Schizosaccharomyces pombe: one gene and its partners. Changing the gene in region 1 together with any one later gene gives a genetic interaction. Each region holds a gene or a part of one and is shown in the gene's direction. Other genes may lie near its edges.

The links.
Region 2: of scw1 (region 1) and mob1, a mutation in one rescues a mutant of the other (synthetic rescue), as found in Schizosaccharomyces pombe (2 studies listed by BioGRID).
Region 3: mutations in scw1 (region 1) and cdc4 impair growth when combined (synthetic growth defect), as found in Schizosaccharomyces pombe (one study listed by BioGRID).
Region 4: of scw1 (region 1) and sid2, a mutation in one rescues a mutant of the other (synthetic rescue), as found in Schizosaccharomyces pombe (2 studies listed by BioGRID).

The regions. Positions count from the first base shown.
Region 1 is NC_003421.2:670,305-678,325, forward strand, and holds scw1 (RNA-binding protein Scw1), read left to right. Parts: upstream 1-3,171; coding exon 3,172-4,857; 3' UTR 4,858-4,947; downstream 4,948-8,021. Other genes in the region: pus3 (tRNA pseudouridine synthase), read right to left, coding at 1-456; SPOM_SPCC16C4.21 (uncharacterized protein), read left to right, coding at 1,006-1,251; p21-activated protein kinase inhibitor Skb15, read right to left, coding at 5,461-5,764, 5,829-5,986, 6,056-6,446, 6,550-6,722.
Region 2 is NC_003423.3:467,206-474,516, reverse strand, and holds mob1 (Sid2-Mob1 kinase complex regulatory subunit Mob1), read left to right. Parts: upstream 1-4,353; 5' UTR 4,354-4,391; coding exon 4,392-4,566; intron 4,567-4,623; coding exon 4,624-5,023; intron 5,024-5,071; coding exon 5,072-5,129; downstream 5,130-7,311. Other genes in the region: Rheb GTPase Rhb1, read left to right, coding at 20-81, 141-399, 454-690; SPOM_SPBC428.15 (Obg-like ATPase), read right to left, coding at 1,078-2,307; mlg1 (1-acylglycerol-3-phosphate acyltransferase), read right to left, coding at 2,813-3,865; SPOM_SPBC428.12C (peptidyl-prolyl cis-trans isomerase E), read left to right, coding at 5,688-5,718, 5,908-6,003, 6,099-6,257, 6,319-6,383. UniProt on the Schizosaccharomyces pombe protein: Has a role in promoting the onset of septum formation during the latter stages of mitosis.
Region 3 is NC_003424.3:5,326,019-5,334,429, forward strand, and holds cdc4 (myosin II light chain cdc4), read left to right. Parts: upstream 1-3,169; 5' UTR 3,170-3,199; coding exon 3,200-3,230; intron 3,231-3,282; coding exon 3,283-3,414; intron 3,415-3,487; coding exon 3,488-3,628; intron 3,629-3,694; coding exon 3,695-3,787; intron 3,788-3,859; coding exon 3,860-3,888; 3' UTR 3,889-4,500; coding exon of another isoform or gene 4,501-4,761; 3' UTR 4,762-4,806; downstream 4,807-8,411. Other genes in the region: U2 auxiliary factor small subunit Uaf2, read left to right, coding at 1-243; SPOM_SPAP8A3.07C (phospho-2-dehydro-3-deoxyheptonate aldolase), read right to left, coding at 702-1,811, 2,083-2,091; serine/threonine protein phosphatase PP2A scaffold subunit Paa1, read right to left, coding at 4,501-4,761, 4,807-5,144, 5,200-5,300, 5,362-6,265, 6,374-6,479, 6,534-6,581, 6,633-6,647; phosphatidic acid transfer protein Ups1, read left to right, coding at 8,160-8,242, 8,310-8,411. UniProt on the Schizosaccharomyces pombe protein: Involved in cytokinesis. Required for the formation and function of the contractile ring.
Region 4 is NC_003424.3:218,983-227,927, reverse strand, and holds sid2 (serine/threonine protein kinase (NDR family) Sid2), read left to right. Parts: upstream 1-3,974; 5' UTR 3,975-4,075; coding exon 4,076-5,899; 3' UTR 5,900-6,234; downstream 6,235-8,945. Other genes in the region: dnf2 (phospholipid-transporting ATPase), read left to right, coding at 1-3,532; cfh1 (chitin synthase regulatory factor-like Chr3), read left to right, coding at 6,473-8,945. UniProt on the Schizosaccharomyces pombe protein: Part of a signaling pathway. Required for initiation of medial ring constriction and septation.

The DNA.
Region 1 (8,021 bases):
GCGACTGTCGCACACAGTGTGTGGAGAAAACGAATTAAACGTCCTCGCCATTTTCCATACACGAATACAAGGTGGTAAAATATCGTTGACCAAATTCACCACATGAGGTAGAGGTTGATTGTCCAACACTTTCAAACCAAGAACATTAACAATGGCATGTACACCCTTGTCTGTTCTAGCAGCAGAACACATTCGGATCTTCTTGGGAGAGTCAGCATTCACCTGAACAACGGCGCCTACTCGAGCGAATGCTTGGAACAGTGTATCTTGTATGGTTTTGACATTGGCATTGTACTGCAAACCAGCAAAGCCAGTACCACGATAGCTGACAACACAGTAGACCATTCGTTTCCGGGGTTTCACCGAAATCGAAGAAAAGAAAACCCGATGTCGTTGGAGCAAGCAAAGCACAGATTGGTTGGCAGAGAACCTTGAAGGTCTTAAGAGACTATGCATAGTTTGAAAGATGAAATTAACTAAGCAAGTTTTTAATGAAAGAGAGGAAAGGTACTACAGATGGCATGTGCTCAAGCAAAAGTTAGGATATTAAAAAAATATTAAACTAAGGGTAGAAGCACTTCAACTGTTTTTCATGAACAATATAGAATATTACTATAATTTTTTGGAAAGAGCCCTAGCTTCCATGAATAGTCTTACCCACAATACCCTGTTGTTTATCTATTTTCTTTTACTAAACCAAGCTGTACATACTAGATACCACAAAGAAATACCTTGTATCTCCTTTCTACCCCTTTGAATGGACAATGAAGCCGAAAATTTGCCGTTTTTAGAAGGTCCTTTTTTTTCAACTTTTATCGAAAATTAATTTTTTTTCAGTCGTTTCAAAGGTCAACCTACAAAACTAATTCTTTTCGTTAGCAACCGCTTTCTTATCAATCTTTGCTTCTTTATTTACTGTTCTCTGCTAAATTTTCGTTGATTTATTTAAAATACCTTCTAAACCATACTTTTTCTTACTACCCGGGTTTTGACAAATTTTTTTCTATGCAGCTCTATCCGGCAAATGTTAAGGGATTGAGATATAGTGAATGTTGCATCTTAACCGCTAACCCATCGGTTCAACATTTTGTCATGCATGATGATGCTGGTGTTCCTCTAACGTACAGCGTTTCCACACTGCACGCCGAACTTACCGACCACCTATACCTCCCAACCACCAGGAAAACAGTCGCAGTAGGCAAGAAAACGCTTTTTGTAGTGCAAAAAAAAAGATTTAAGCCGGAAACATAGCAGAATAGCAGAAATTTGATATTTACTGTTATCATCTCCATTATTATTTGGATTAGTTTTCGATTGTCCTTTCATTCATCTAATAACGCTTGTTTTTCTTTTTTCTTTTTTGCATTCTCAGTCTTGGTTGTTTTGCTATTTATTGCGTTCCTCGGTTTCTCCCTATTAAATATTTTCTTTTCATTGTTTTTACGGAAATTCTCATTTTTTCATCTTAGGGGCTCGTTGACTCAGCCTGCACGACAAGGAAAATTATATCCGTTTCGGAAGCACAACGTGTGTGTTGAAAGTCTTACTTTTCTTTTTTATTTTTCTGTACCCTTTCATTGAACTTTAGCCATTTGTTGCTTTGTTGAATTTTGGCCATAAATAGTTTTTCAACTGGGTTTTTATTCGACCTCCTTTCATTATTCATTTCATTTTCATATCTATCCATTTCTATCCCCACTAAACAATTTTGTGTTTTTAGGATTTCCCTATTCTCAATCCATAAAATAGTCACGATTCGTTTTCATTCAGATACCCGGCTCCTTATTTTTTTTTTTTTCGAAATTTTATTCACTCGTTTGATTTCGTTGATTCATTTCTTCCGCCTTTTACTCATTACTTAAGGGTATTTGCTTATTAAACGTTTGGTCTTTTTTTTTGCCCATCTTTTTGTTCATACAAAGTTTTGTGACATTTATATAATATTTAGTCTCTTCGTTTTTGTGTGGGTTACCTTTTTTGTTTTATTCTTTTTCTTTTTTTTTTCTCTTTCTTCCCTCTTTGTTTTTTCTTCTGACCCTATTTTATGCCTTATTATTATTTTGATCAAGTTTCAATCATTTTTTCACAAAGATTTCATATTCACTTTACTTCTTAGTTTTTTTCTTTTTATTTGAAATTTCTTGGAATCTTTTTGCCTTTTTTCTTTTAACTTGATCTCTCTTATTTAACGTTACTTAGAAAAGCTTCTTTTATTTTGCTTTTCCTTTCATTCTTCGCTCCTTTATAAACCGTGTTCATACTTCTTTTGCTTACGTTTTGCCAATCTTCCCAGCAATTTTACTTCTATCTTGATTGTTCTTGTTGTTGGATATTTACTCTTTGTTGATAGCGGTATATTTTATTTGCTTCTCACTTTTTGCCCGATTGCTTTCCTTTGATTTACCTCTCCAAAAAAAAACAAGTGTCTTTTGTTTACTTGTTTGTATATTTGTTTATACTCTGCTGATTGAAAAGTTGATTGTTTATTTTATTTTTCCATCTGCAACCATTTCTTTTTTTTTGAAAAAAAAAAAATCGCTAACTGATTTTTTTAAGCATTTCGAATACCTTCGAAGTCTTTTTATCGATACTTTTGACGATTTCTTCCTCATAAGCCTTGCCCTAGACTTTTTGTTAGCTCGGTATTTTTGCATATTTCAGTCATCTTTTTTTCATTTTCAGTTTGTGTTTTTTGCTTCACAGTTGTATCTGTCTCTCTTTTAGCAACTAGAATTATTTGTGGTGGTCAACAGTTTACCCTTTGCTCTCGTTTTCTTGAAGTTACAGTCTTTCTTTTATTATCTTCGTCCAGTATTCTAGGTTGTTGCCCTTCTAATTCTTTCGCGTCAAGTATTTGGATTTTTCTAATACTTGCTAACAATTTTTACTGAATTTTTTATTTTTCTTCATTGCCCTTGCTTATTTTTATTACTTACACACTTTCTTTTTAGTCGACCAACTAGGTTTCTAACTTTTTACTCCACTTATTAACTATTTCGTGTTATTAAGCTTGAAGCCTCATTTATTATCGTTTGGGGTTTATTTAACAACTACTGCTATTTCATTTGTGTTTTACTTTTAGGCATCTATTGCTTATTTTGGTTACTTTATCAACCACTTTGTCATTCTTTTTTCTCTTCTTTTCAATTACCATTATATATAATTTGCAAAATGTTTGTGGGATCACCGAGCGCTATTGAAAAGCCTTTATCGTTATCCAGTAAGACCAAAGTCGGGGACGAAACCGAGTTTACTGAAGATGCGCTACGTGGTTCATCGTTGGTTCCAACCGGTATTCTGAATGGAGATGATGAATGTCATGCTCTTCACATGTCTCCTCAGGCTATTCACAGCCAAGCTGGGAAAGCTGAATCTGACGGTTTACCTACTTATGCATCTGTGGAAAAATCCACAACTCCGATTGGTAGACTCCTCTCTAACCTCAACGGTGGATTAGCCTCTGCTCCTCCTAAGGTTGGATTCGGTTTTCCTAGATATTATGCTTTGCGGATTGAGGATTTACCTAGGGACTTAACACCCAGAGAGTTTTTATGTACCTTTTTATTCGCTACGAATGTAGTATCCGTCGAGCTTAATCCTGTATCCGTGGATAATGAAGTTGCTCATGGATTGGCGGTGTTTTCATCCCGAGATGCTGCTGCATCTGCTAGAGACACTTTGCTATCTAGCGATGTTTATTCCGCGTGCAGCATGATAATTTTAGACAATTATCGAAAGGGAAGTCAAACAAATCTTAGCGACGAAACTGAGGGCTCTGAGAGTAGTGTTTCATTTAACAGACTGTCTCGAAACCATTCTCCAACTCGTCCACTGTTAGGAAATCGTGATCTTTTCCGCAGGTCAAGTAATCATGTGTCAGCCAGTATGCCTACTGCAAATCATTCGGAATCTGCTTATCGTCATTCAAAAACACCTTTGGGTGATAGCACTTTTCAGGCTCCTAACAATGGAGGTAGTTTGCATTCCGATAGGTTGTGGTCTTCTTTCCCTGTTTCTTATCCTTTAACACTCGCGAATGTGTTAGCCAAGGATGAAGTTGGTTCACCTACGTGGTCACCCACTCCTTCCAAAAGTAGTACCAATTTGCGTCAAGACGGTGTTCCTCCGATTTTGCGATTTAACTCATTATCTATTAACACCAACGTGGCGCGCAATTACCTTTCATCTGAAAAGGGTTATAGCGCTCATACCCAAAATTCTAGTGCTCAATCACCCCATCCTCGTGTCTTTTCGGCAAACAGTGCATTCAGTACAACAAGCCCTCCTCCCTTGACACCATCAACATCAAGAGACTACCCATTTTCAGCTTCTACCATTTCACCTTCCACACCATTTTCGGCTTATTCCTCCAGTCATGGAATTCATCAACGCATCCCTGCTTCTACCCCCACGAATACCAACCCTGCTGATCAAAATCCTCCTTGTAACACCATTTATGTTGGAAATCTTCCTCCTTCTACTTCCGAGGAAGAGTTGAAAGTTTTGTTTTCCACTCAAGTTGGATACAAAAGACTTTGTTTCCGCACTAAAGGCAATGGCCCCATGTGTTTTGTTGAATTTGAAAACATTCCATACGCCATGGAAGCCTTGAAGAATTTACAAGGTGTTTGTCTTAGCAGTAGCATTAAAGGTGGTATTCGTTTGAGTTTTTCGAAGAACCCATTGGGAGTGCGCTCATCAAGTTCATCGCATAACAACCATAATGGAAACGTTCGTAACCTTCACTCTGGTTCCATGAATAATTACAATACAGACTCTTTGCTTAATCATACTGGTGGACATAACGAAGTCCACGCCAGTCCCAGTTGGGGTAATAATCTAATGTATGGCAAATAGCTCATCTAGCATTTTCTCGTCTTCATTTTATCATTATTCATCAATACCTTGCAAGGACTTTAGGTCCAAATTTTTTAAGCATATTGTTTCTCTTTTTTTTTTTTTGAGTTTTGCATATTGATTCTTTGTTAATCAAAAGTTGCGATCTATTCCACTTTGACTGCATGCAACTTTAACCATCTGTTAAGCTTAATTACAATTTGTCGATTTATGCGATCTGTTTTATTTCACTCTTATATAAGATGGGTACTTGCATTGTTTAGTTGTCATTAGGATTTATCATTTGCTCATCATTTCCATATACTTCTGCTACACATATCAATTTACATAATAATATCGACTTTTGCTTCTAAATGAACCCATCTTAAATTGCTAAACAAGTACTGTAACAACTTGGTTAGATGTATTTTTATTGTAACACCCAACTTAAGCTTACATACAAGAATTTTTAGGATACATTGATAAGCAAACACTTAATCCTTTTATAAATATTAGTATAGTCTAGGTGAATAAAATATTTCCAACAAAAACTGTATAATAGTAATCCCGTCCTTTCCCTATTAAGTTGAAATTGATTTACTTTTTTTAAAATTGCGAGGAACTTTAGGCATGCTTCGTCCTTTTCACAGGCGGCTGTTTTGAAGTGCTGTAATATTCTGACTCCGATTCTGACTCTGAAGAAGTTTCAGAAGTTTCCGAATCCAAACTTTGACGTTTCGCAGCTTCATCTTCGACATTTTTGGGTTCTGAATTGCTATCGGCCAACATAGCTACCATACAGGTAATTCGATTGCCTTCTGGAATGTTATGCTCAATTACTAAGTTCCAATCTTTATCCCATATACATACTGAACCATCCGAGCTTGCAGTAATTAAATAATCATCAACAGGGTAGACAGATTTGACGCTAACTTGATTAGAAAATTTTGAATTTTTAATTTGTTGAGTATAGAATATAAAAAGACACTTACCGTTTCTTATGCGCCGTAAATTCATGTAAAATCTTCCCATCAGAAGTATCCAAAACCAGTACTGTTCCATTATCTCGTCCAACTATCAATTTGGATTGATAGAGACACAAAGCGTTCAATTGAGATTTAGAAGAGAAGCTGAAAAGGGAAGTGAGATCCTAAAAATGTATTAGTAATTTATAAAAGAAGGAGGAAAATTGCATATAGAAAAATGCATAAATTCTTACCAATTTAAAGGCATCAATGCCTCTTCGTGACATAATAACAAATGACGACTCATTCAGGAAAAGAATAGATTCTGGGATAGTGCTTAAAGGTAAAACTTTACCTCCTTTACCTCGTACAAGGTCCCAGAGCCGCAACTTTCCATCACCTCCAACTGTTAGGGCCAATTTTTCTGAAGGGTGAACTGCTATACCAGTGATGCCCTTATGAGAAGATGACTTAAGAGTATGAACCAACAACCATGAACCTTTAGACCACATACTGATTTGCCCGTTATCATGACATGCTAAAAGGTGATTTTTAGTAAAACACATATCTCGGATACATGCATTGGCGATATCTGTAGGAACAGAAACATCGGCTATTTGGACGTTACGAGTGTGATCGAAAATTCTGAAACGATGTTAGATTATGCTTAAAAGGATAATTAAATACAAGGAAGGAAGAATGAAACCATTTAAGTCCAGTTTCATAATTCCAGTTGCAAATAACTTACTTAATTGTTTCATCACTGCTAGTAGAAGCCAAGTAAATACCGTCGACAGCTAACGCGGTTAAAGCTCCTTCATGAGCTTCAAAAAGCCACAAGGGCTTGCATTTTTTCCTCTCAATGTCTGCATCAACACCGTAAATGAGGTGAGTATATGTTCCAACTACAAAACGGAGCATCGGTGACTAAAGTATGACAATTGAAGCCTAAATCCAGTTATACAAAACCCAAAGTAAGTTATAATAAGCACCCGATCCTTTTGCTTTTTCTATTATAATTTAATTGAGTCCTAAACCACAAATTCTCAAATACCAAGTAAGAAGGAGAGAGTAGCAAAGAATTTGCAGGTGTAATGAAATTTTAAAGTAACAGCAAGAAGTTTCACTTTATGTTTTTCTTCAAAACCAATGAAGAAAGATTTTTAAATTGCTGAAATTGATTATAGAGAATGAATATTAATAATAAATACCTTATTTTGTGTGCTTTTGGTCTCAAATTGATCAGATTGCTAATGTAAACAACTAGTGTTTCAAAGTAGCAAGCTCAAGGAAGAAAAAGACATACAGTAGCTTTTACTTAAACAAAGAACCTTCCAAGCACTAAATCTTTTCTTGTTTCAATTTTCACCCTGCATGTTACTGGTATGGTTTCATCAAATATTATTGTAGCGAGGTTTCAGGGATTAGCAGCTCCATTACAAATGTTCAGACATGATCTATATCCCCTTCTTTATAAGATTATATATCTGAACAGTTTCACATAGATTTATTATAAAGCAATAGAAACTGAGGTCGAGCTTTCGAAATCGAATAATTGTTTATAGATTTATTTTTTTTATCTTGAATATTTCCAAATTTTATTTCAACATTTATCAAAATCTGTTCACAAGCGTATTTTCCAGGTCATACGTCCGATTGCAGAGAAAGAGTAAAGCAGCTGACAGCCCCAAGGCAGAGCGGACCAACAAACATTCTCACGTTCTTCCATGCAATATGTCGTAACTTAGAAGAAGTTCGTAAATCGTTTACTAAATTGAATTTATTTACTTTTTACAAGAAAAACGAGTTGCTCTGTTGTATCGATAAATAAAATAGAGAAATTCACAGGTACTCATAATATAAAATTTCGTTACTGTAGTGTTTGTATAATGATGTATTGTGATAGATTTTTGTCACATAAGATTTTGGTGTGATGTGCCTTATTCCATTCGTTTCTTTATCAACGTACAATCGCGCTATCTTCATATAATAAATCGGCAAATTCCAGTAATAAAAAATAAGGATTTGTGCTAGTAATCACTATTGTACTTTATTTGAAGCCTATTTCTGCCATGAGTCCTTTTGGGGCAGTATAGGTAGGTAAAAAAAGTCAAAGTCCCATCATGCTCTTTGACAAACTCGTACACTTTAAGGGTTGTTAGGAATATATATAATAAATGTTTCTAATTCCCTTCCTCTTAAGTTTTACGTTCTACAGTT
Region 2 (7,311 bases), on another chromosome or scaffold:
AAATTTTCTAATTTAAACAATGGCTCCTATTAAATCTCGTAGAATTGCTGTTCTTGGCAGTCGTTCTGTTGGAAAGTCCAGGTAAGCGTTTGATTGAAGTTTATGCGCAAATAGGTTTACTAACCATTTTTTTTAAATAGTTTAACGGTGCAATATGTTGAAAACCATTTCGTTGAATCGTATTATCCAACTATTGAAAATACATTCAGCAAGAACATCAAGTATAAGGGTCAAGAATTTGCTACTGAAATTATCGATACGGCTGGTCAAGATGAATACAGTATCTTAAATTCTAAGCATTCCATTGGAATCCATGGCTATGTACTCGTTTACAGCATTACTAGCAAATCTTCTTTTGAGATGGTTAAAATAGTTCGTGACAAGATATTGAATCACACTGTATGTCAAATTATTAGAATTTTTAAATTTTTTACTAACCTACTTGCTATTAAGGGTACTGAGTGGGTCCCCATTGTGGTTGTTGGCAATAAGAGCGACTTGCATATGCAGCGTGCTGTTACCGCTGAAGAGGGAAAAGCATTGGCCAATGAATGGAAATGTGCATGGACAGAAGCTTCAGCTCGCCATAACGAAAATGTTGCTCGAGCATTCGAGCTAATTATCAGCGAAATTGAAAAACAAGCAAATCCTTCCCCTCCTGGTGATGGAAAGGGTTGTGTTATCGCCTAAGCTTCTGCTTGAATTTATCATATTATGGATTAATTTATTTTAACTGAATTAACGATTTTATCTTTGCTAATGCAAGATATGGGCTTACATTACATGAGGTGATACTTTGCACACAAACGTGTTTTTTTACACATGGGTTTACAAGATTTCGACTCTTTATTTCAAATATACAAGTACCTAAACTATGGTTTTAAAATTTAGTCAATGTAATACATAGTGGAGAAAGTACAGCCAGACATTGTAGACGTAATTTGTTGAGTTAGCTCTTCGGAAGTTTTAAACTAACCAAATTAATTTTTAGACATAGTATTGTTTATTAACATCTATACAAAACTATTTTGAATATTTCCCAAAATCGACCTTTTACCACTTTTCTTCATGAATCACTTAAGCTTCAGCTTTCCGCAATCGAAAGTGAAGGATATCCGTTTTACCTGGGACAATAACATCAGATTCGCCGACGTTTCCATTTACACCCACAATAGACATTGCTTCTCCACCCAATACCATTTGAGATACCTGTCCAGCAGTCGTTCCTTGCTTCACTAAGATGCAATCTCTGAAAACACCTTCATTAGGAGAGTTTGCAAAATTGTGAACGTTTTTAACGGGAAAAACTGGAATCAAATTTAAAAGTTCCATTGCCTTTGCTAAAACATTACAAACTCCAGTTGAACCGTGTCGAAATAATACCATGTCTTGGAGGTCTGCGATACGGGTTTTAAGATTTTCGCTCAAAGGTTTCAAGCCAGAGTCAGGAAAATCGTCTAGCGTATCAACAAATTCAGAGCCCTCCTCGTACTTAACAAACCCCTGTTTTGCCAATCTTCGAAGAAAAACTTCGGATATGGCTGAAGCCAGTACGAGTCGATTTGGATCTTCTTTTCTAGCTATTTTAGATATATTTGCATCCGCATCAGGATGATCAATTTTGTTAAGAGCAATAACGGTAGGAAACTTGATATCAACGAATCTGTTAACCACTTTTTCAATTGTATCATCATCCCATTTCTCCAAAGGTGTATCTAAATGTAGCGAATCTAAGACTTTAGCTGTAACAGCAGGGGTACTTCCATATCCAGAAAACTGGGATTGTAGTGTATTGACAGGATTGGCTTTCGTAGCAATATGCCTACGAACTATATTAGGCCATTTCTCTCTCAGATTGTTTCCGATCCATGCAGTTATTTCCTTATACAACCAAGCGATATCTACAGAAGGATCATATCCACGACACACTTTTCCTTCCGCATCAGTAGTACCTGAGACATCTACCACATGGACCAAAGCATCGGCATGCCGTAAATCGTCTAAAAATTTATTGCCAAGCCCCTTTCCAGCATGCGCACCTGGAATAAGACCAGCTACATCAAGCAGCTGAATAGGAATTGAACGTACACCATTTTTGCAACCACCATAAATTGGTTTACATTTGTCCTGTAGTCCAAATCTTGAGCACGCGCATTCTATTTGAGCATAGCCAATAGCCCGGTTTGGCTCAATAGTGGTAAAAGGGAAATTACCAGTTTTAGCAGTGGCATCTGTCAACGCATTCAGCATCGTAGATTTACCACTGGAGGGCTTGCCAACAAATCCAATTAAAATGTCTCTACCCATTATTTGGAAACCTTAGAAGAAGTATGTGAGAAAAATTGGTACTGAAATCCAGGACCTACTCGTACTCTGCAATCTGAGAATTAGAGTAGTGGTAAGGGTCGAGTGTTTCGTAATACCTGCTTTTAGGACTAAAGATTTAAAGGATTGTTTGCTTGCACATTTATAATATTTTTTTTTTAGCATAATTTATTTTATTGTTATTATGTTATCTTCGACATAGTTTGAAACAGTAGATTGTAGGCCGTCTACAGGCAAAGAGGATGGTTGTAAGGAGAAAAAGTGTACAGAATAATTTATCTCGAAATCTCAAAGCTCAAGAGAAAGCTAATGACTATAAAACTATCGTCCGCAATGTATGCGGTAATTCCTTAACACTGAAAATCCAGTTTGCAATCTGTTAAAAAATGTTCATGAAAATCAGTTAATCTATGTAGTGTAAATGGGTAACTTTTCAACCATATGGTTTAGGGAAATGGAAAGAAATGGGTATAAATAACAGTTTTTTCTAGTGAGAAATGAATAGTTTGAGGAACAACCCAGCAACAATGCACGTGAAAAGTACGGAAAACAAAGAAAGAATTTCAAGTCTGTGCTTCAATCGAACAGTCGTATGCAATTTCTTAGGGCCCGGAAAATTCCCTGTTTCAAGAAGCGTATCGATAAGTTTATCTTTCTCATACCATCTTTGATAAAGCCAATCCGTAAACTGATCTTCTTCAGTGGGAATTTCCGAAATTGGGAAGCGACGAACGTGAATATGAAGCCTTTTGATGGGGACTCCTTCAAAAAAGAGCTTAGGTAAAGAGAAAGCATCGGCGGCATATTTCTTAGGAGAGGGATCAGAAAAATAAAATGTGTAATCGTACAAATAAGTCATCGAATCACGAAGCTGACTGATACTATAAAAGAGCCCTCGCACACGTGGGAGCATTAAATGCTTTGGCATTTTGACTCCAATTTTATCGGCATACACCCTGCTCCTTTGATATGTGCTTTCAACCAAGTTGGTTCCTTCTGGGAAGAGAATGAGACTGACGGAATCACGTACATTGCGAATGAACTTGAAATGACGAGACATAGTCTCGTAGTCTTTGTCCCATTTGCGAGAAAGGAAAATGAATCTAAACAATTGCATACCCCAACCTATAACTGGCAACCATTTGAGAGAGTTTTTTAACATAATATAAACATGACCATGCTGTTTAGCAGTGTACGATAACCACCAAACGTACATCCAGTCCGAGTAAAGTTGATGGTTTGCGATAACTATGTTGCGTTCAGCAGCAATTGTTTCCAAGCAACCATTTCTATCCAAATAAAACAAATTTCGAAGCTCGGGATCATAGGTGAGAGTTACAGGAGTCGGACTAAAAAGCTGGACCAAAGCGGTAAACAGAATACCGGCGAATGATTTTGTAAAAGCAATATATTTGTTATAAAGCTCCTTGTTGACAAAATACAGAGGAGTTCCAATAACTTCCGAGGTATAAATGGTAACTGAACCAACAGCCAAACATAATATGAATGAATACTTGCGAATCGCAATTCTGCATGTCATGTTGTCAAACCTAAATGAATTAAAGGAACCTAAATCAAATCTCAAGAAATAAAAGACTGTTAAATAGAATCCAGAGAAAGTTAGCAAAGTCGGTTTTAGTGATGCCCTTTCGCGTTTCTCACCGCACAGTAAAAGTCGTACACGAACACTAAATAGACACCAATTTGAGCAAAAAAAATCCCAAAAAGAAAATTAAAAGCTCTCTGCTTTCTTTTTAATTTCTTAGCCGCACGTTTAGCACCAAAGTGTAATTCAGGGAATGTCAGTGGTTATAGGCAGTGGGTAAAGAAGTAGCGATCGTACGTTGTCAATTTGTAAAAGTGCTCGGACCTAAACATACGGTCGTATGAATATGATAGGTATTCCAGTAATTAATTTGCGCTTAATATTGGTTGGCTGGATGGTCTTGAAAGTTGAACGGTAGAATGACCACGTTTGTTTACGAGGAAGGGACGATGAGTGGAAGGTTGGCACAAACCAAGCCTACCAGAACCCAACTCATACCAACTTTTTTGCATTTTCTTTCATGTTTGGATTTAGTAATAAGACAGCGAAGACATTCCGTGTAAGGAAGACTGAAGCGGGAACGAAGCATTATCAACTACGGCAATATGCTGAAGCAACGCTGGGATCTGGCTCTTTGATGGAAGCAGTAAAACTGCCCAAGGGAGAAGATTTGAATGAATGGATTGCTATGAACAGTAAGCTAAGATATAAAATTGACACTTCAAGAACTTTTATTAATTGAATACTTCTAGCAATGGATTTTTATACACAAATTAATATGTTGTATGGTACAATCACTGAATTTTGTACGGCGGCTTCCTGTCCTCAAATGAATGCTGGACCAAGTTATGAATATTACTGGCAGGATGATAAAATATACACCAAACCCACTCGCATGAGTGCTCCCGACTATATTAACAATCTGTTGGATTGGACTCAAGAAAAGTTGGATGACAAGAAGCTCTTCCCCACTGAGATTGGTGTTGAATTCCCAAAGAATTTTCGCAAAGTGATTCAGCAAATATTTCGAAGGTTGTTTCGCATTTATGCTCATATTTACTGTTCCCACTTTCACGTAATGGTAGCAATGGAGCTTGAAAGCTATCTGAATACATCATTTAAACACTTTGTATTTTTCTGTAGGGAATTTGGGTATGTGTTTCAATTTACTTACTTAAAGATGTTAACAACAAATTTCAGCCTTATGGATAACAAGGAATATGCACCAATGCAAGACTTGGTAGATAGCATGGTTTAAGAACAGTTTTGTAGTTATTCAGGAACAGGAAATGGGAGGTAAACTCGGTTCCCAAACTTACCAATTTAATGTTTTATTTTATCCCTACCATTACCATTTTATCCAGACCTTAGCACAATTTTTTATGGAAAATTTCTTCTTTTCATTTCAATCATTCACTTGAGTGATTACCATAAAGAATAGTTGCTAAAATTACTCTTTCTACTCCTCCACTTTTTTCTTATGACACTGCATTCTTTTAACTACTTTTGAAAAGTGTGGCATATCGCCTTTGCATAGGCTACTTGTGCAAAATATTCTCGCATTCTCTAAAGTGTCTATCTTCATACAATTCATTTTATTTATAACATTTCATGTATCATATGTCTCTGGAATCTTTATTTCAGGTTTCTGTTAAATACCGAAAAAGACTGCATCGTTATTTGAGAAACTACTTACTGAATGGTGGTGGATGTGAGATAGTAAATGTGCGAAATAATCTGAACTTTTTAATTCCCTATTATTTTAGTCTTTTTGCTTTTCATCTTATTTTTTTTTTTTAGTTTTGATGATCTGAGGATGGAAAGAAGGAAAGCAACCGTCCATGTGGGTAAGGATCAATGAATTCATCGTTGTTATGATATATCTATGAGTTTCATGATACCGCTTCCTCATATGGCCATTTATCTACGATAAATGTTTGAGGTTATGATTTAACTTGTTGAATATTATATGACGGCGATACTTCGTTTTAAAAGATTGTTGTTTTCAAAGATCTGTTTGCTAACTTTCTTTTTAGGTAACTTGGCTCCATCTGTAACAGAATCTCTTTTATACAATGCTTTCATTCCGTTTGGAGAGATTATCTCAGTTGCATTACATCGTAAAGAAAAAGGTAAAGTAGTCATGTATTGGTGTCATGTTGGTAAACAACTAGTTTTGATGCCATGAAAATGCTCAAACATTTTAAAAGTTTAGCTAACTTTCTAGCTGTGGACCGTTCCTACGCGTTTGTAGAATTTGATGAACCAGAAGACGCTAAAGAAGCTATGGAAAATATGAACTATTCTATTCTCTGTGATCGTTGTATCAGAGTATCGCCTGCAAATTTTGCGTTATCAGCTGAAGAGACAGCAGTTCCAGATATAGGTAAGAAAAATAGCTGCTGAAGAGGCTTTCAATTTTTTATGCTCTTTACTAATTTACGTAGCAATGTTGCATCCTGAGTCAGCGGATTTTCAAACTTTCAAATCGACTTCTACTCCTACCTCTTAATTTTGTAAGATATTGTTTTCTTTGTAATTGCCTCACCTTATAATAAAGCAAAATTGGGCATGCGAGTGACTATAGGTGAATTGTCTCCTTTTAAGTACTATATTTTTAAAGAGAATACCTCATCCTCCCTCCTTTTTTATCATTTTTATTCTTTACATTTCGAACCGACACCCATTCATCTTTTGTTAATGGAATTGCTATGCATTTAAGCCTTTTTGGAAAGCAAGGCTTGGTATTTACGATTGACGCTTCAACATTACTTTAGCATTGATTTCTTTATTATCCAAGAATTCATAGTTATTGAATGAATATACATACCTATACATATATCAGTTTTGCAAATCTTCCCCTTTGCGCTTTAAAACTCTCATACTCAAAATATCATTTCATAGTGCACTAAGGGAATTTAAGCCCGTATATTCCGTAACGTTATGTTAAAGTAATAGGGTAGGGTTTTGTGACCTGTTGTGACTGCTCAATTTTACTATAAATGGATGTACAAGAGTTTACCATTCCCCATCTTTGTGCACGGGTATTACGCTTATCAGTGAGGAACTTTTCCTAGATGGCGTTATTGCTAGTTGAAAACTATTACCCTGACCGCTCCAACTCTCGTTAAGAGTTTTGGGAATATTTGGAAACCAACTTATTGCAATAACTCATATGTTTACAATGTATGTCTTTAGCAATTTGGTGGTTTTTTATTTTTTGTAAAATTAATTTTATATGATTTTGTGTATTTTTTATTAATGAAAGCACCAGTGAATTTCTGCTAATAGTAATAATGTGCTTACCGAAATAAGGAGCTAAAAGCATTCAGTAATCTTTTGCTAGGCAGAGATCAAGATAACGTAAATTTTGTTATATAATATGTTACGCTTTCCTTGTTTTATAGACCTGTTAGCCATTAGTAGTGCACAAGTGTTAT
Region 3 (8,411 bases), on another chromosome or scaffold:
GAGTTATCTCCTGTAACTGATTTTCGCGAGGCATGTTGCCGGCAACACGAAACTTCGGAATGTCAGCGGGGTGGCCTTTGTAATTTTATGCATGCCAAAAAACCAAGTCCTCAGCTTTTACGCGATTTGGTACTAGCACAAAGAAAGTATTTGGCCTTAAATGCAGCAGAAGAAATGAAAAAGGAGCCCAATAGTGATTCCACGAATCGATGGGTCAGTGTAACTGCTGAACGCAAAAATTAAATAGCAACTTATGGAATGTATTTGTTTTGGATTCTGGTTTGCTTTTGTACGGTTTTACTTCGTTTATTATGATTAATCTCTGGCTATAGTTTGTTGTGATTTAGGTTATTTAAATAGATGTTGCATTCTTTTATTGTTTACTAATAAACTTGATCTTTGTACAACTGTACTCATAGACGTTTTAAATTTTGTGTCCAATGTGCCTATGGCTGATTACAAGCTAAAGGAGATCGATTAGAAACATATGAAACGATCAAACATTTCGCAAAACTTGCACAGCAATTCTTAAAAACGAAGGTGTTATTGGTAGAAGCTGTGTACGATATAAGAAAAAAAAAACAAAAAAAAATAAATAGAACCCGTATTTAAGCCAAAATTGTTCAGTTGTTGTATGTTACGAAAAAATAAGTTTCAAAAATTAAAAAAATTAAAACTGCTGAATATAACATTTATATGTCTTAATTACTTTTTTGGTTTTGACGGCGAGCACGGACAGCTTCAGCAAGATCGTCTAGCATTGGAGCAGTTTGTTCCCAGCTAACACAAGCATCAGTGATACTGACACCGTACTTGAGAGTATCCTTAACGCCAGGACGGATTGGAGCATCTTGACGACCTTCATTGATATGAGATTCAATCATAACACCAACAATGGAAGAGTCGCCATTTCTGATTTGTTCGGCGATGCTCTTGGAGACCTTTGGTTGGTTCAAATGATTCTTGCTTGAGTTGCCATGAGAGCAATCGATCATGATACGAGGAGGAAGGTTGGCCTTCTCAAGATCTTTGCGAACGGCGGCAACGTGCTCAGCATCATAGTTAGGACCCTTCTTACCACCACGCAAAATGATGAAGGTATCCTTGTTGCCCCTGGTCATGGTAATAGCGGCGAGACCTTGTTTAGTAACTCCTAGCATTGTGTGAGGATGGGCGGTAGCACCAATGGCATCAATCGCCACACCAACAGTACCATCAGTACCATTCTTGAAACCAACAGGGAAGGAAAGGGCAGAAGCCAATTCACGATGTAATTGAGACTCGGTAGTACGAGCACCGATAGCACCAAAACTGAGTAAGTCGGCGAAGAATTGGGGAGAAATGTTGTCCAACATCTCACTGGCCAAAGGAATGCCAAAATTGGTAACGTCGCAATACATTTGACGAGCCATCCTAATACCCTTGTTGATAGCAAAAGAACCATCCAAGTTAGGGTCGTTGACCAAACCCTTCCATCCGATAGTAGTACGGGGCTTCTCCAAATAACAACGCATGACAACGCACAAAGCATCCTGAAGCTCGTCAGCTTTGGGCTTCAGCAACTTAGCATAGTCCATGGCCAATTTAGGGTCATGAATGGAGCAAGGACCGACAACAACGATAATTCTGTCATCTTGTTTGTTGAGAATAGCTTGAATCTCCTTTCTGGAGTCAGTGATGACTTTGCGAGAAGTTTCAGAAACAGGAATCTCTTGTTGAACCAAAGCGGCAGGAACCAAAGGGTTGTAACCTAAGACACGGTTGTCATCAAGATGCTCTTGATCGTAAGTTTCACCGCTGGGTAAAAAAACCTAATTGAATAATGTTAGCAAATTGACATTAAAAAAAAAGACCAAACATGCTGGACATAGCAATCAACATAAAGCAATAAAAATTTCAAAAAAAAGAAACAAAAAAATTTAAAATTTCAATTGCCTAAAAATTCATCAGCAAAAACAAATTTGTTATCCGCATAGTAAAATCTACTATATAACTCAATAAGATAACTTTCAGTACTGTTTCTCCGACTGATGAAAATTTTTACTAGCAAAATTCTTTGGATGCCCAATTGGGGTTACTTACCGGAGACATGGCTTATTAAATAGAATTAATAAATTTAGGTCAAAGAGTGCTTCCTAAGTTGTTGAATGCCAAGTAAGTAAACACTATTAAAGGTCCTTTACTACGACGAAGGTTGGTTCTGTCTGAGTTCGAAGCAGCGCCAACGAAAAATATATGTAGTCCAGTAATAAGATGATCCAGTGATAATGGCTCTAAGTCATCGGAACTGCGAAACAAGTAGTAGGCAATTTCTGGACATCATCGCTTAAAAATTTGTTCAAATTTATAAGTCCTTTGTTTTGTATCAATTTCTAGATTTCACTTGCTATTTAATTACTTGAAAGTAAATTGAAGGTTGAGCGTAAAAACATAAAATAAAGCCTTTTTTCGGTTTCTTATTAATTCATAAATTAATGTTAAAAGGGATTGATATATAATATTTAATAATTACGTTTCCTACAATGTTTACTGTCATGTACCACTGGGATATGAGAATATATACATTGCTTATCAAAATACTTATTTCCAAGATTCGCTCAATTATATAAACCACGCATTAAAGCAACATATAAAAACATATTGATTCGTTTATTTTACTTTTACTCAATGCATATTTTGTGAGCCCGAAAATTTAGATATACCATCTGTGACTGCCTTTTTGGTACACAAACGCCGAAAATTAGAAGTCTGGTGGACAGCGTTGGCTTTCCGGTAGATTAGTCTTTTGAGGTTAACAAGTTAATGATATCTGATATTCTGATGTGATTATTGAATTTATGAAGTGCATCAGTACTGTATTTCTCGTGTTCCGGTGACTCTCGTATTTTGTATTGCACTAGAAATAGTGAAATCGCCAGCCATTTCATAATTTATCAAGTAGCTCGACATTAGTATGACTATTCATATTCTGTATACGAATGATGTTCTAAATTAAAATCTGGCAAAGTAAATGACAATTCTGTTCATATAAGCTGGTTTACATAGCTCTACGTTCTTTAGTAAATTACTAAACAGATCGCTATACAGTAAACATTATCATGGCAACGGTTGCTATGGGGCTTATAGGTGCGTGTACACAGATTACAGTCGACTTAGTACACTTACCTTCATCCTAACAATCCATTTAGAATAGTCAAACATGTCGACAGACGATTCACCTTATAAACAAGGTAATAACTACTTTTTGAAATCATTTCAAAATGTTTATTAACGAAAAGATAGCTTTTTCTTTATTTGACCGCCATGGAACTGGTCGCATCCCCAAAACGTCCATTGGTGATCTTTTAAGAGCGTGTGGACAAAATCCTACGCTGGCTGAGATTACTGAAATTGAATCTACTTTGCCCGCAGAAGGTATGATTTCTTGTTATGGGTTTGGAGAGTTATACTCCTTAGCCGTGCATTAAGTGACAATACTAATTGGTAGTCGATATGGAACAATTCCTTCAAGTGTTAAATCGTCCCAATGGGTTTGATATGCCTGGTGACCCAGAGGAATTCGTGAAGGGCTTCCAGGTGTTTGATAAAGATGCCACTGGCATGATTGGAGTGGGTGAATTGCGCTATGGTATGTATTTATAGAGATCTATCCTTTTTTCAGATTGATAAAAAAATGCGAAACTAATTGTATCAGTTTTAACTTCTTTGGGTGAAAAACTCAGCAACGAAGAAATGGACGAGTTATTAAAGGGTGTTCCCGTAAAAGATGGCATGGTTAATTATCACGGTATGCTCTATTACTACTCTGGGCTTCGGCAATCAACTACCTATACTTAATTATACTAACTGCTTCCTTTAGATTTCGTTCAAATGATTCTTGCCAATTAATTAAATCTACATAGTTTGCATAATTTACCCGGCATATGTTTCTCCTTTATTATTTACACCTTTATTTCAATTTTATGTCTTCAATAGTTTACTTTCGTTCAGCTTTTCCATCTGATACACTTGGGACTATGAAGCAATATGTTCCTGAATACAGATAACTGGACTTTTCGATACTCGCAGGAATTTCTACACATATCGTTTAGCATACGGAAATAGAGATATCCTTCTATATTCGTATATTTATGAATATGATTAACAACCATTTGTTATCTCATGCAAATGACCTTATATCTCAGCTGCTTAAATTGTTTGAATCTCTCCAGATGTAAATATAAGTTTTCATTCAAAATTACACTTTTCGTAAGTAATTACGGTTGATGCCAGCTTTCTTGATGCATTCGGCTCCAATTTTGCCATATCGTGTATATCTTGTATATCTAATTTACTGTGTGTCAATACGATGCTTTGAATTAGATGTAGGGCTTGACACTTGATGTCGAACGAATGGCCAGAGTCAAGACAGTCCATTCTTTTGCATTTTTACATAGTGAACACAAATCATAAAGGTAAAACTTTTGGCTCATTTAGACATGCAATCATATAACCCAACAATTAGTCATTTGTTTGCTCTAAGGCCTGAGTAGCAAAATATTGAACATCAGGGTCATTATCTTTTGTAAGTTGTTCGAGCAATGGGATGATTTGCTGTTCATATACGGTCGAGTCACCACCAGCTGCCAAAACAGGCTTAAGAACTTCAAACGCCTTGGCAACGTTAAAGCGAATATTAGGAATAGGGTCATTAACCAACTGTTCCAAAGTTGGAAGAATTTGTTTTTCAATTACTTCAGCATTCAATGCAGGTGCGATTTCCTAAAATACGTTAGAACTGGAAAAAAGCAAAAAAGAAAAACTTACACTGATCGCAAAAATAGTTGTCATTCGGTATAAATAATTTGGATGGCTTCGCATAGCCAAAAACTTTGGAATAATTGTCTCAGTTGCCCATTCCAACCCAAAAATTTCCGTAAGTTTTCGCAAATTCTTTATCGCAGCTTCACGAATAGAATATACATGGTCCTCTAACCATGACATACATAAATTGCCCATTTTCTCATTAAAAAATTCGACCCCAAGCTGCTGAGCAAGTAGTGGAATGTAGTCAATGATAGCAAGACGAACACGCCATTGTTTATCTTCAGCAAGTGTAACAATTGCAGGCAATAAAGATTGTGAAAGTAATTCGATACCAACGACTAAAGTGAGTTAGTATAACTGTAGCAATAGCTATATTTTGAATTTGCAATTTACCTTTGTTTACAACTTCCAATTTCGAAATAATGTTAAGACGAACTTCAGGGTTTTCATCTTTAAGTAATTCCAAAAACATTGGTAAAAGATACTCTGTAGTCCTAAATATAACGATTAGTAAAATGAGGTTTTTAAAAGAAAAGTTATTTTTAGCAGACATACTTTTCCTTTCCTAATTGTGGGGCGAGAGCACCTATGTTCATCCCTAAAGCAGCACGGACATGTTGAGCGGGATCATTAATTAACTCTTGAATAACTGGAATAATCTCTTCAAGAACAATTCGCTTATCCAACAATTCGCAAAATCCTGGTATTTGAGTAGCAATAGCACGGCGGACTTCCTGCTCGGTATCCTTCATGAGCAGTACGAATGGTTTAATAAGTTCATCTTTAATAAGAGATGGTCCAACTACTTTAGCAAGTTTTACAAAATTAGCAGCAACCATATAACGTGTTCTCCAGCTGCTATCCGAAACAAAAGACCTTAATGGTTGAAGCAAATAGTGACGAATTTCCGAGTCAGATTTTAATACCTCCGCCAAAGAAACCATAATGTCGAAAGAAAGGAGCCGAACTGAGTCTTGGTCATCATTAGAAAGGGAGTTGAACAATGGAATGAATTCGTCAATAGCCTCCTGTTTAGTTACCAAAAAAACAAACTTGGCACAGTTCGTTGCTGCAGGACGACGGACCATGGGAGCTTCGTCGTGACATAGATGACTAAAACTTTGACGAAGAGAGACTTTGACAGCAGGATTTTCTGACTGAGAATATGCCGCGCAGTAAAGCCCAGCAGAGGACGCACGAGAGGTAAACCACTCAGCGGTTGAAAGACGTTGAACCAATGGAACAAAATATTGCTCTAATTGTTCTTGGGATAGGCAAATACATACTTTATTGAGAGAGTCAACGGCTTTATCGCGGACTACCGTTTCTTCAGTTGCAGCAAGATTTTCAAGGGGAGACAAAAGGACATGCGCATACTCAGGGCCTCCAACATAATCTACAAAATTTCCTAACTGGTCGGCGAGAGCTGATAGGACTTCGTCCTCATCGTCAATCGATTCTGTATTCAAGGAATGTTAGCCGACAAACATACATCGTTTATTAAAAAATATAAAGAATTTTAAAAATTTAAACCTATAGTTCCATAATTTTATTATTGAATGCATACCATCTAAAAAGGGAATCAACTCATCCCTTGTACGTTCAGGACCTAAAGCGAGAGCAATTGTCGATAACCGTTCCAAAGCATTGAGCCTATAAGTAATTTCATCATGCTTTAACAATAGTCAGAGTTGAACATATCAGACGTAAAACAATTTGTTACCAACCTTTAACTCATCAATCAAAACAGCAATCGGATACAAATCGTTCACTTGCTATAAATAGTCGTGGTTAATAAATTGTAAAAGAGACATTTTGTAACACACATTCTCTGTTTGCATTTTATATAATAGAACAACTCGTTCTTAGCAAACAAGCAAATAAAGTGGGTAGGAAGTTTTAAACTTTTCGAGGTGAAGAAGGAGTGTGTGTTACAGCGGACGCTACCAAATTGAAACAGTTTTCCAAGCAAGTATCTCAAAGGTTTTCCTTAACATGAATCATTTTGAATAATTCTAAAAAACTATTTTGTGTTTATAATATACTCTGCTTTTCAGAGTTTTGACTGAACATAAATTCCACTTAAATGTTTACATACTGAATTGTCTAGCATCACGAATTCTTTTTATGTCTTCTCTCTTTATTCCTGACCTAATTTAATCTTTGTTTTTGAGAAGTATTGTTTAAGGGATATGGTTTGGAATCACATTTCTACCAATGCTAAAGCTTTTATATGACATCAAACGATTTTGCATGAGTATGTTAATTGATTATTTTTTTGGAAATTTGTATGATAATAAAGGATTCAATTGCCATATTGATGTATCGCAACTGGCTGAATGGTATATTACACAGTCATATTTATTTCAAACTATGAAATTACCCAAAAAACAAAACATAATTAAGTGATTATAGCCATTAAAAAGCTTTTTCCAAACTTCGCATGTTTCAAACCGAAAACTTTCGCTATATTTAATGCAAGAAGATAATTCGGATTTATTAATATTGGAGCTATTGTCGAAATGTTAAGCAAAACTGCTATACACACTTAGTGAGAAAAATTTGATCATTTTTCATTTGTTTACGATACCTTACATAACTGGGGTTTCATTATATTGCAAGTTTATTTCGTCTACCTCAGGATGAATGTGTTGGATTCTCAAATTGAGGTCCTTCAGTTTGGTTCAACAGTTTTTTTTCATTAATACTTCGTTTTTAAGATGGTCGTATAATTAATTATTGACTGCCGCAATCGATTCGTTTGTTTTAATGTTTAACAAAATATTGTTACTTCAAATTTTCTAACAAGTACCTCGATTGTGTAATATAACTACCAAACTAAAATATTTAATACAATGTGCTAGTTATGTTTGGTGACTATAGCAATATCACTTAAAATGGGTGATATATCTTCATAACGAAGTTTGGTGTTTTCAGAGATGACCGATCAGTTTAGGTAGTGTTTACAATAAATTACAGGTATTTTTTTTTTCTTCAACGCACTTTAATTTGAGTGAACAATCCTCTACTCGCACCATAATACTTCGCTTATCATAGAGCATATAGTTTATAGAATGAATATCAAAAATTTATCATTGAATATAATGCAAAAAATTCTTTGAGCATCGCCACTGATTATCTGTTTTACAATACTAACATGTGATGTTTTCACAAGTGAAAATAACGAGCACCTTATATCACGTTATTTATTAAGTCAATAAATTGTCCATTATACCAATCTTTCGTCAGTAAATCTTTTTGGGTGAAATATTTTGAGGGAAGACTGGCTAAAAGGCTTTTTAGCATATTTATTTTTCAAAAAAAAATTAAAAGCAAATGATTGATTTTCTGATATGACTGCAATATGTACTGACAAAACCGAGTTAAATGCTTCCTGGAATACAGTCTCTTCAGCTTGGCTCACTAGATATCCAAAGTACGTCGATCATAAACTATGAGGTTCATTTTTATTGTGTTAATGTTCTTTTATTAACAATAGTTAGTCCGTATAGTCTTCACGTAGTCTCAGCTGATGTACTCGAGCGATATGTGGATGATGAAGGTCGACTATATACCGAAAGATTACTTGTTAAACAGGGAAGACT
Region 4 (8,945 bases), on another chromosome or scaffold:
TATGGCAGGTTCTGAATCAAGACCTAGTTATGATTCTATTTTCAGAGAGTCTTTTGAGGCAAAACGATCGTTTGAAGATTCAAAGGGCAAAGTCCCCTTAAGTGCTTTAGATGGGACTGCAACTATTCTCCAATCGCGTCCCATGGATATTATTGATTATGAAGCCGAAGCTACTGGCGAGTGCCATTTCAAAAAAACATACTGGAAGGATGTCCGTGTAGGTGATTTTGTAAAAGTTATGGATAATGATGAAATTCCCGCAGATATAGTCATCATTAATTCATCCGACCCTGAAGGTATTTGTTACATTGAAACCAAGAATCTTGATGGTGAAACCAACTTAAAAATGCGTCACGCTCTAACGTGCGGAAAGAATGTAGTTGACGAGGCCTCATGCGAGAGATGTCGTTTTTGGATAGAGAGTGAACCACCACACGCTAACCTTTATGAGTATAATGGAGCATGTAAGTCCTTTGTCCATTCTGAAGCAGGTGGCTCTGATACCTCCCAAACTGTTTCAGAGCCCATCAGTCTGGACTCAATGCTATTGCGTGGTTGTGTCCTTAGGAATACAAAATGGGTGATTGGAGTTGTCGTATTTACTGGCGATGATACCAAGATTATGCTGAACTCTGGTGCTCCGCCATTAAAGCGTAGTCGCATTACTAGAAATCTTAATTGGAATGTTTATCTTAATTTCATTATCCTTTTCTCCATGTGTTTTGTTTGCGCAGTTGTCGAAGGAATCGCCTGGCGTGGTCATTCTCGCTCCTCGTATTACTTTGAGTTTGGTTCCATTGGTGGTTCTCCTGCCAAAGATGGTGTCGTCACGTTTTTCACTGGTGTTATTCTTTTTCAAAACTTGGTGCCCATTTCGCTTTATATTTCAATTGAAATCGTTAAGACCATCCAGGCAATTTTTATATATTTCGACAAAGACATGTATTATAAGAAGCTAAAGTATGCTTGTACTCCAAAATCTTGGAATATTTCTGACGATCTTGGACAAGTGGAATATATCTTTTCTGATAAAACAGGTACTCTTACTCAAAATGTTATGGAATTTAAAAAATGTACGATCAACGGAGTTGCGTATGGTGAGGCATTTACCGAAGCAATGGCGGGAATGGCAAAACGCGAGGGAAAGGATACTGAAGAATTGACTCTTCAAAAGCAAAGTTTCATTGAACGTGACCGAATGCAAATGATTTCTCAAATGCGAAATATGCACGACAACAAATACCTTGTGGATGATAACCTCACGTTCATCTCGTCGCAGTTTGTTCATGACCTTGCTGGCAAAGCTGGTGAAGAACAGTCACTTGCATGCTATGAGTTTTTCTTGGCATTGGCCCTTTGTCATAGCGTAGTTGCAGACAGAGTTGGTGACCGGATTGTCTATAAAGCACAATCGCCAGATGAAGCTGCACTCGTGGGTACCGCCCGCGACGTTGGCTTTGTTTTTTTGGACCAGCGGAGAGACATTATGGTTACTCGTGCTCTTGGAGAAACCCAAAGATTCAAATTGATGGATACTATTGAATTCAGCTCAGCGAGGAAGAGAATGAGTGTGATCGTTAAAGGACCCGATAACCGTTATGTGCTTATTTGCAAAGGTGCTGATAGCATTATTTTCGAACGTTTGGAACCAAATGAACAAGTTGAATTACGTAAAACCACTTCTGAGCATCTCAGAATTTTTGCATTGGAAGGTTTACGAACACTTTGTATCGCAAAAAGAGAGCTTACTGAAGAGGAATATTACGAATGGAAAGAAAAGTATGACATCGCCGCATCTGCAATTGAAAACCGTGAGGAGCAAATAGAGGAAGTTGCCGATTTGATTGAATCTCATCTTACTTTGCTCGGTGGAACAGCTATTGAGGATCGATTACAAGAAGGAGTACCTGATTCAATTGCATTATTGGCTCAAGCCGGTATCAAATTGTGGGTTCTGACCGGAGACAAAATGGAGACTGCTATTAATATTGGTTTTTCTTGCAATTTATTGGACGCTGGCATGGACATGATTAAGTTTGATGTGGACCAAGAAGTGTCAACACCAGAGTTGGAAGTTATTTTAGCTGACTACTTATATCGTTATTTTGGTTTGTCTGGATCAGTTGAAGAACTTGAAGCTGCTAAGAAGGATCATGACACTCCCTCTGGCTCTCATGCGTTAGTTATTGATGGATCAGTACTTAAACGAGTTTTAGATGGTCCAATGAGAACCAAGTTTCTGCTACTTTGTAAAAGATGCAAGGCTGTCTTGTGTTGCCGTGTTAGTCCGGCTCAAAAAGCAGATGTTGTTCAATTGGTACGCGAAAGCCTTGAAGTAATGACGTTAGCCATTGGAGATGGTGCGAATGATGTTGCAATGATTCAAAAAGCTGATATTGGTGTTGGTATTGTTGGTGAAGAAGGCCGTGCTGCAGCTATGTCTGCGGATTATGCAATCGGTCAATTCCGATTTTTGAGCAAGCTGGTTCTTGTTCATGGCCGTTGGGATTATAATCGTGTTGCTGAAATGGTAAACAACTTTTTCTACAAGAGTGTTGTATGGACATTTACTTTATTCTGGTATCAGATTTACAACAATTTCGACGCAAATTACCTTTTCGATTATACTTATGTTATGCTGTTTAACTTGATTTTTTCATCGTTACCTGTCATTGTCATGGGTGTCTATGATCAAGATGTTAATGCTGATTTGTCGCTTCGGATCCCTCAGCTTTACAAGCGTGGTATTTTGCAATTAAATTCAGCCAGGAAAATCTTTATTGGATATATGCTTGATGGGTTTTATCAGTCTGTAATCTGTTTCTTTTTCTCTTTTCTTGTGATTAACAATGTGACCACAGCTGCTCAGAATGGTCGTGATACTATGGCTGTACAAGATTTAGGTGTTTACGTTGCTGCGCCAACTATTATGGTTGTCGACACGTATGTTATTCTGAATCAATCAAATTGGGATGTGTTTTCAATTGGTTTATGGGCGCTCAGTTGTTTGACATTTTGGTTTTGGACTGGCGTCTACTCTCAAAGCCTTTATACATATGAATTTTATAAATCTGCTTCGCGTATATTCAGAACTCCAAATTTTTGGGCTGTTTTATGTGGAACGATTGTAAGTTGTCTTTTCCCGAAGTTTTTGTTTATGACAACGCAAAAGTTATTTTGGCCATATGATGTGGATATCATTCGCGAAAGTTACCGCACTAAACGCCTTCATGAATTGGATGAAGAAGAGGAGATTGAGAATGCCGAACAATCTCCAGATTGGGCATCTTCTACTTTACAGGTCCCTTTCAACGCATCTTCGTCAAGTTTGGCGACACCCAAGAAAGAACCTTTACGTTTGGACACAAATTCGCTTACACTCACATCAAGTATGCCAAGAAGCTTTACCCCGTCATATACTCCAAGTTTCTTGGAGGGCTCTCCTGTGTTCTCTGATGAAATACTTAACAGAGGCGAATACATGCCTCATCGTGGTTCCATTTCTTCTTCTGAACAGCCGTTACGGCCTTAAAAAATGGCAAGTTAATAAGCTGAATTATCTAATCAAGATAATCTGTGTACCCATTCTATTTCTACGCTATGCTTAAGAACATAACTTTTCATACTAAAGAATGATGAATTATCGAATAATGATTATGATGTTATAGAAACATCTCTGCATACTAAATAAAATACATGAACGTTTACATTTTTCTTCTGAAATCAAAAGATTGCATCAAATTTAAAATGTATTTTGCATTCACAGTACATTTTAAAAATAACGAGATAAATTTACTATATCTAGTTTACATTTGTATGATAAATAATAAAAACAGACTTTTTAACAATCTTGTTCTAAGTAGTAAATTTGGTGGTTGGTTTTTTAAGTTTTGAAATTTCCAGCGACTGCTGTAATCAAACTTTGGTTGCTAAGGGTAAATGGCTGATACCTAACTCCGATGGAAATGTACTCTGCCGTAAACAAAACACGTAAGGTTATTATTGACAGGAGTTTTGCATTTTTTGGGGACCAAAACGTTGGATGTTTACGATACATATTTAAAGAAAACTAATAATGAATCGTGTTAATGATATGTCACCAGTTGAAGGTGATTTAGGACTTCAGCTAAGTTCTGAAGCAGATAAGAAATTTGATGCATATATGAAGCGACATGGTCTTTTTGAACCCGGCAACTTGTCGAATAATGATAAAGAAAGGAATTTGGAGGATCAATTTAATAGTATGAAGCTTTCCCCAGTGGCATCTTCGAAGGAAAATTATCCTGACAATCATATGCATTCAAAACACATTAGTAAGTTACCGATTGCAAGCCCTATTCCGCGTGGTCTTGATAGATCTGGCGAGTTGAGCTACAAGGATAATAATCATTGGTCAGATAGAAGTTCAACGGGTTCACCAAGATGGGAAAATGGATCTATGAACTTGTCAGTTGAAGAAATGGAGAAAGTGGTCCAACCTAAGGTAAAGAGAATGGCAACCATTTGTCAAATGTTCTTTTTAGACCATTACTTTGAGCAGCTTCATTATCTTTATACCCGCAAGCAAAGAGCCCGTCTTTTTGAAGAGCAGTTGCTTAAAGAGCCTGATTCACGAAGAGACGAGCTAGTGAAGCGATACAATGGACGTGAACGAGTATATCTAAGGAAAAGGAGGACACGCATTAGTCACGGAGATTTCCAGACCATCACTCAAGTCGGACAAGGTGGATATGGCTCTGTTTGGTTGGCTAGGAAGCGTGACACCAAAGAGATTGTTGCTTTGAAAATCATGAATAAATCGGTTTTGCATAAAATGGATGAGATCAGGCATGTTCTTACTGAGCGTGATATCCTTACGACAGCCAACTCGGAATGGTTAGTTCGTCTACTTTATGCTTTTCAGGATACTTCAAACATTTATCTCGCTATGGAATTTGTTCCTGGTGGTGATTTCCGTACTTTGCTTAGCAACAGTGGTGTTTTAAGGGATCATCATGCCAAGTTTTATGCTACAGAAATGTTCCTAGCTATTGATGCTTTGCATCAACTTGGTTACATCCATCGTGACCTTAAGCCAGAAAACTTTTTGGTTGGAGCTAGCGGCCATATTAAATTGACGGACTTTGGTTTAAGTTCTGGAATAATCAGCAAAAAGAAGATTGAAAGTATGAAGATTCGTCTTCAAGAAGTCAACAATGTCGTTGTTCCCGAAAGGAGCATGAGGGAAAGGCGACAAGTGTTTCGAACTCTTTTATCTCAGGATCCTGTATACGCTCATTCAGTAGTTGGCTCTCCTGATTATATGGCCCCAGAGGTTTTACGAGGTGAAAACTACAACCACTCTGTAGACTATTGGTCTCTTGGCTGCATCATGTATGAATGTCTTTCTGGTTTTCCTCCATTTTCTGGCTCCAATGTTAATGAAACCTGGTCTAACTTGAAGAATTGGCGCAAGTGTTTTCAACGCCCTCACTATGATGATCCCCGCGATTTGGAATTCAACTGGAGAGATGATGCATGGGATTTTGTATGTCACTGCATTACTGATCCCAAGGATCGCTTTTGTTCTCTTAAGCAAGTCATGCAACATCCTTACTTCTCAAAGATTGATTGGAAAAATGTTCGTACAGCATATCGTCCTCCGTTTGTACCCGACCTTAATTCTGAGATTGACGCAGGATATTTTGATGATTTCACTAATGAAAATGATATGTCTAAATATAAGGAAGTTCATGAGAAACAAGCTGCAATTGCTAATATGGTTAACACATTTAATAAGCCTAAACGCAATGCTTTTATCGGCTTCACTTTTAGGCATCAAAAAAATAGTCATCCTACTAGCTCTAGTAGCGCATTATCTAGTCCCCTCTCTGCTCCTTCTTTCGGGACTCTATTATAATCAAAGGGAAATTTAATGACCCTTGTTCATGGTATTTTTATAAGACATCTACTGTTATTAACTATTTTCGAAGATACTGAGCTTCGCTTTTGATGTTTTGACATTTACAGTACTGTCTTTTACTATTGCATTTCACTTTCGAACGGCATTTACATTACAATTTGCGAAAGTTATCACTTTAATTTTATGATGTTTATTTGGAAGTATCCTTTTTCATTATATTATATTATATTTTTATTTATCTTCCACTATTTTATTCGTCAATATTCAGCTTTCGCCATTTATATAGAAGAACTTGCAATTACCAGATAAATTATGTAAATCATTTACTTGATAGGGAAATAGACACTATCTGCAATTTAATATCTTGAACCATTTTTACTATTTTGGAAAATTTTTGTTTTCGTGTATTATTTGTTGTTTAGTGAGCTGTAAGATATTCGTTTTGTTGGCAACAGCAGAAGAGCTGTAACATTCATCAAACTGCGATACCTCATTATCCTCGTTTCTTACTGCTTTCCTCCTAAAGCGTCTACCTTTTGCTCTTTATTTCACTCGTAAATTAATCTGTTAATGAAAGATTCACATAGCTCTCGGAGGAAGTATGAGAAGGAAAAGTTGGTATTCGCAACGAATAATGGAAAAAGAACAGAGGGTACCCCAGCTTTTTTAAAAAGCGGTAACACAGCTTCTTCATCCTCCCCTACTCTTCAATTTCGTCCTACATCGAGATATCCGACATTGAGCCATGAACCAGTGTATACGAATGTTTTGGACCTGTCTTCAAGGATTGACGCGAACAGGGCTAGTATAATGAGCGCTACAATGGGTACTCCACCTTCAGCATTGAAATTCTCCAAGAAAAAAATATCCCGGCCTGTTGTTAGTGAAGATACCTTCAAAGACAAATTGCCGCGTGCAACCATACCGGTCAAGCCGGAGCCACAGCCACAGTATAAAATTCCAGCTGCACCTGCTCCTACAAGCAAACGTGTAGTTAACCGTGGGTTAAAGCTGAACACTAATTTGAGACAGGCTTCTCCTATTTTGCCTTCACCTAGTTTAAAGTTGGATCGGCAAGATGCCCCAATACAAATAAATCATGAGCAGAAAGAAGATTTTTTGGTTTCTATTCCGCGACCAACGCCAATGACCAATTTAGATGATGGAAAGGATGAGATTGGACAACCGGATCCTCATAGAAAATATATGGCACCTCCACGTGTTAATTCTATAAGTCGTGTACAGCGTCGTATGAGTTACATACCATACGGTGGGTTTGATGACTTCTTAGATAACTATTACAAGGATGACGATACTGTACTTGAAGACAATCAGCTTAAGAGTAACTCTCGAATAGAAACTTTGGAGGAAGAAGATGGAGCAGAAAGTGACTCCATCACAAATACAGTTTCTAATGCTTCGTCAGATGCAGAACCTGCTCATCGTCATTTGGGACCAGTTTATGAAAACTCTGGACACCTCCCTTCAAAAAGTCACTTTTCATCAACCGACTCGAATACAGATTCATTCGGGTTAGAAAGCGATGAACGTTCGCTTCCTTCAGTTTCTAATGACTTAAAATCATCCGAAACTTTGAAAAATCCTCGAAATGATGATTTGCTTACACTTCAACAACCACCTCGTTATCCACATTCTCAAATGGTAATGCTACCAGCTCGTTCTCCAGTTGAGGTTCCTGCTCCTACATTTGATCGTAGAAATGTTTCGAGGAACTCGAATAATAACTCTCCCGAAGGTTATGATAATAATCGCACAAACCCAACTGTTAATAATTTACCTTCATATCCTACAAACCTTGCACGTCCTAAGGCAATTAAACCAATGCCTACTTCTATACACGGTCAAACAAGTCCTTTATCGCCAATTCCTCCGGTACACACAACCCATGGGTTAGTTTCTGACATTCGTCCTCTCCCTTCTGTTTCTTCCCCGATAATGCGTGCTGATAGCACACCGATTTCACATAACTTAGCTGTGACACCTTCGTTTTCCCCTATTCCACAGCAAAGTAATAAGTCTATTGGTAATCACAAAAATACATCGGTTGCTAATGTATCATCCAAGGTTGCTAATTCCAAGTTTGAAAGGAATATATCTATGATGTCTAACAGTAATGCTTCTTCACCCGCTATTTTTGAAGTGGGTGCAGAAGCAAAAGAAAAGACGAAGGATGCGATTCCTTGTCATCCTGATGATAAGTTGATGATTCCGTCACCAAAAATTGTGACGCACGGAGACGCTATGCAAGAAGAACAGCGTCTTCGCCAAAAATCTCAAATCACACCTGATGACGAAGTTGAGTTGGCAAAAGTTTATTTGAATGCATTAGAAACTTTAGAAAACAAGCCGAGCTTAGCTCCCGACCAGGCTAGTTATAATACTCGAATCAATGTTTATCGAACCAGAGCTGTTGAACTTTTAAAAAAGAATGCTTATCCTAGCAAAACCCAGAATACTGTACCCGAAGCTCTGTTTTTAATAGGACAATTTCACAGTCAGGGGGTATTAGGATTTAGACGCGATTTGGGAAAAGCATTTGAGTTGTACAGCCTTGCAGCTAAAAAAGGACATCCTTTGAGTAATTACAGAGTTGCTGTTTGTCTTCAAACTGGTACCGGGGTTAAGCCGGACACTAGTAAGTGCGTTGCCATCTATAAAAAGGCAGCTGAAATGGATGTAGTCGAAGCTATGTTTCGTATCGCTCTGATTTACTTAAATGGTTTGTTAGGGCAAAAACGCAATATATCTCTCGGTGTGCAATGGCTCGAACGTGCATGTAAGTCTAAGGGGCCCGAATCAGTTAGAGCTATGTATGAACTTGCAAAGATTTATGAGCAACCGGATCGTTACGGAGTATCTGCAACCCCTGAAAGAAAGTTTGAACTTTACAAACAATCAGCTGTCTATGGCTACGCTGCCGCCCAGTGTAAACTTGGGGAGTGCTATGAACACGGTTTATTAGGGTGTTTAGCAGAACCTCGACGCAGTATTTTTTGGTACACGCGTGCTGCCGAACAAGACT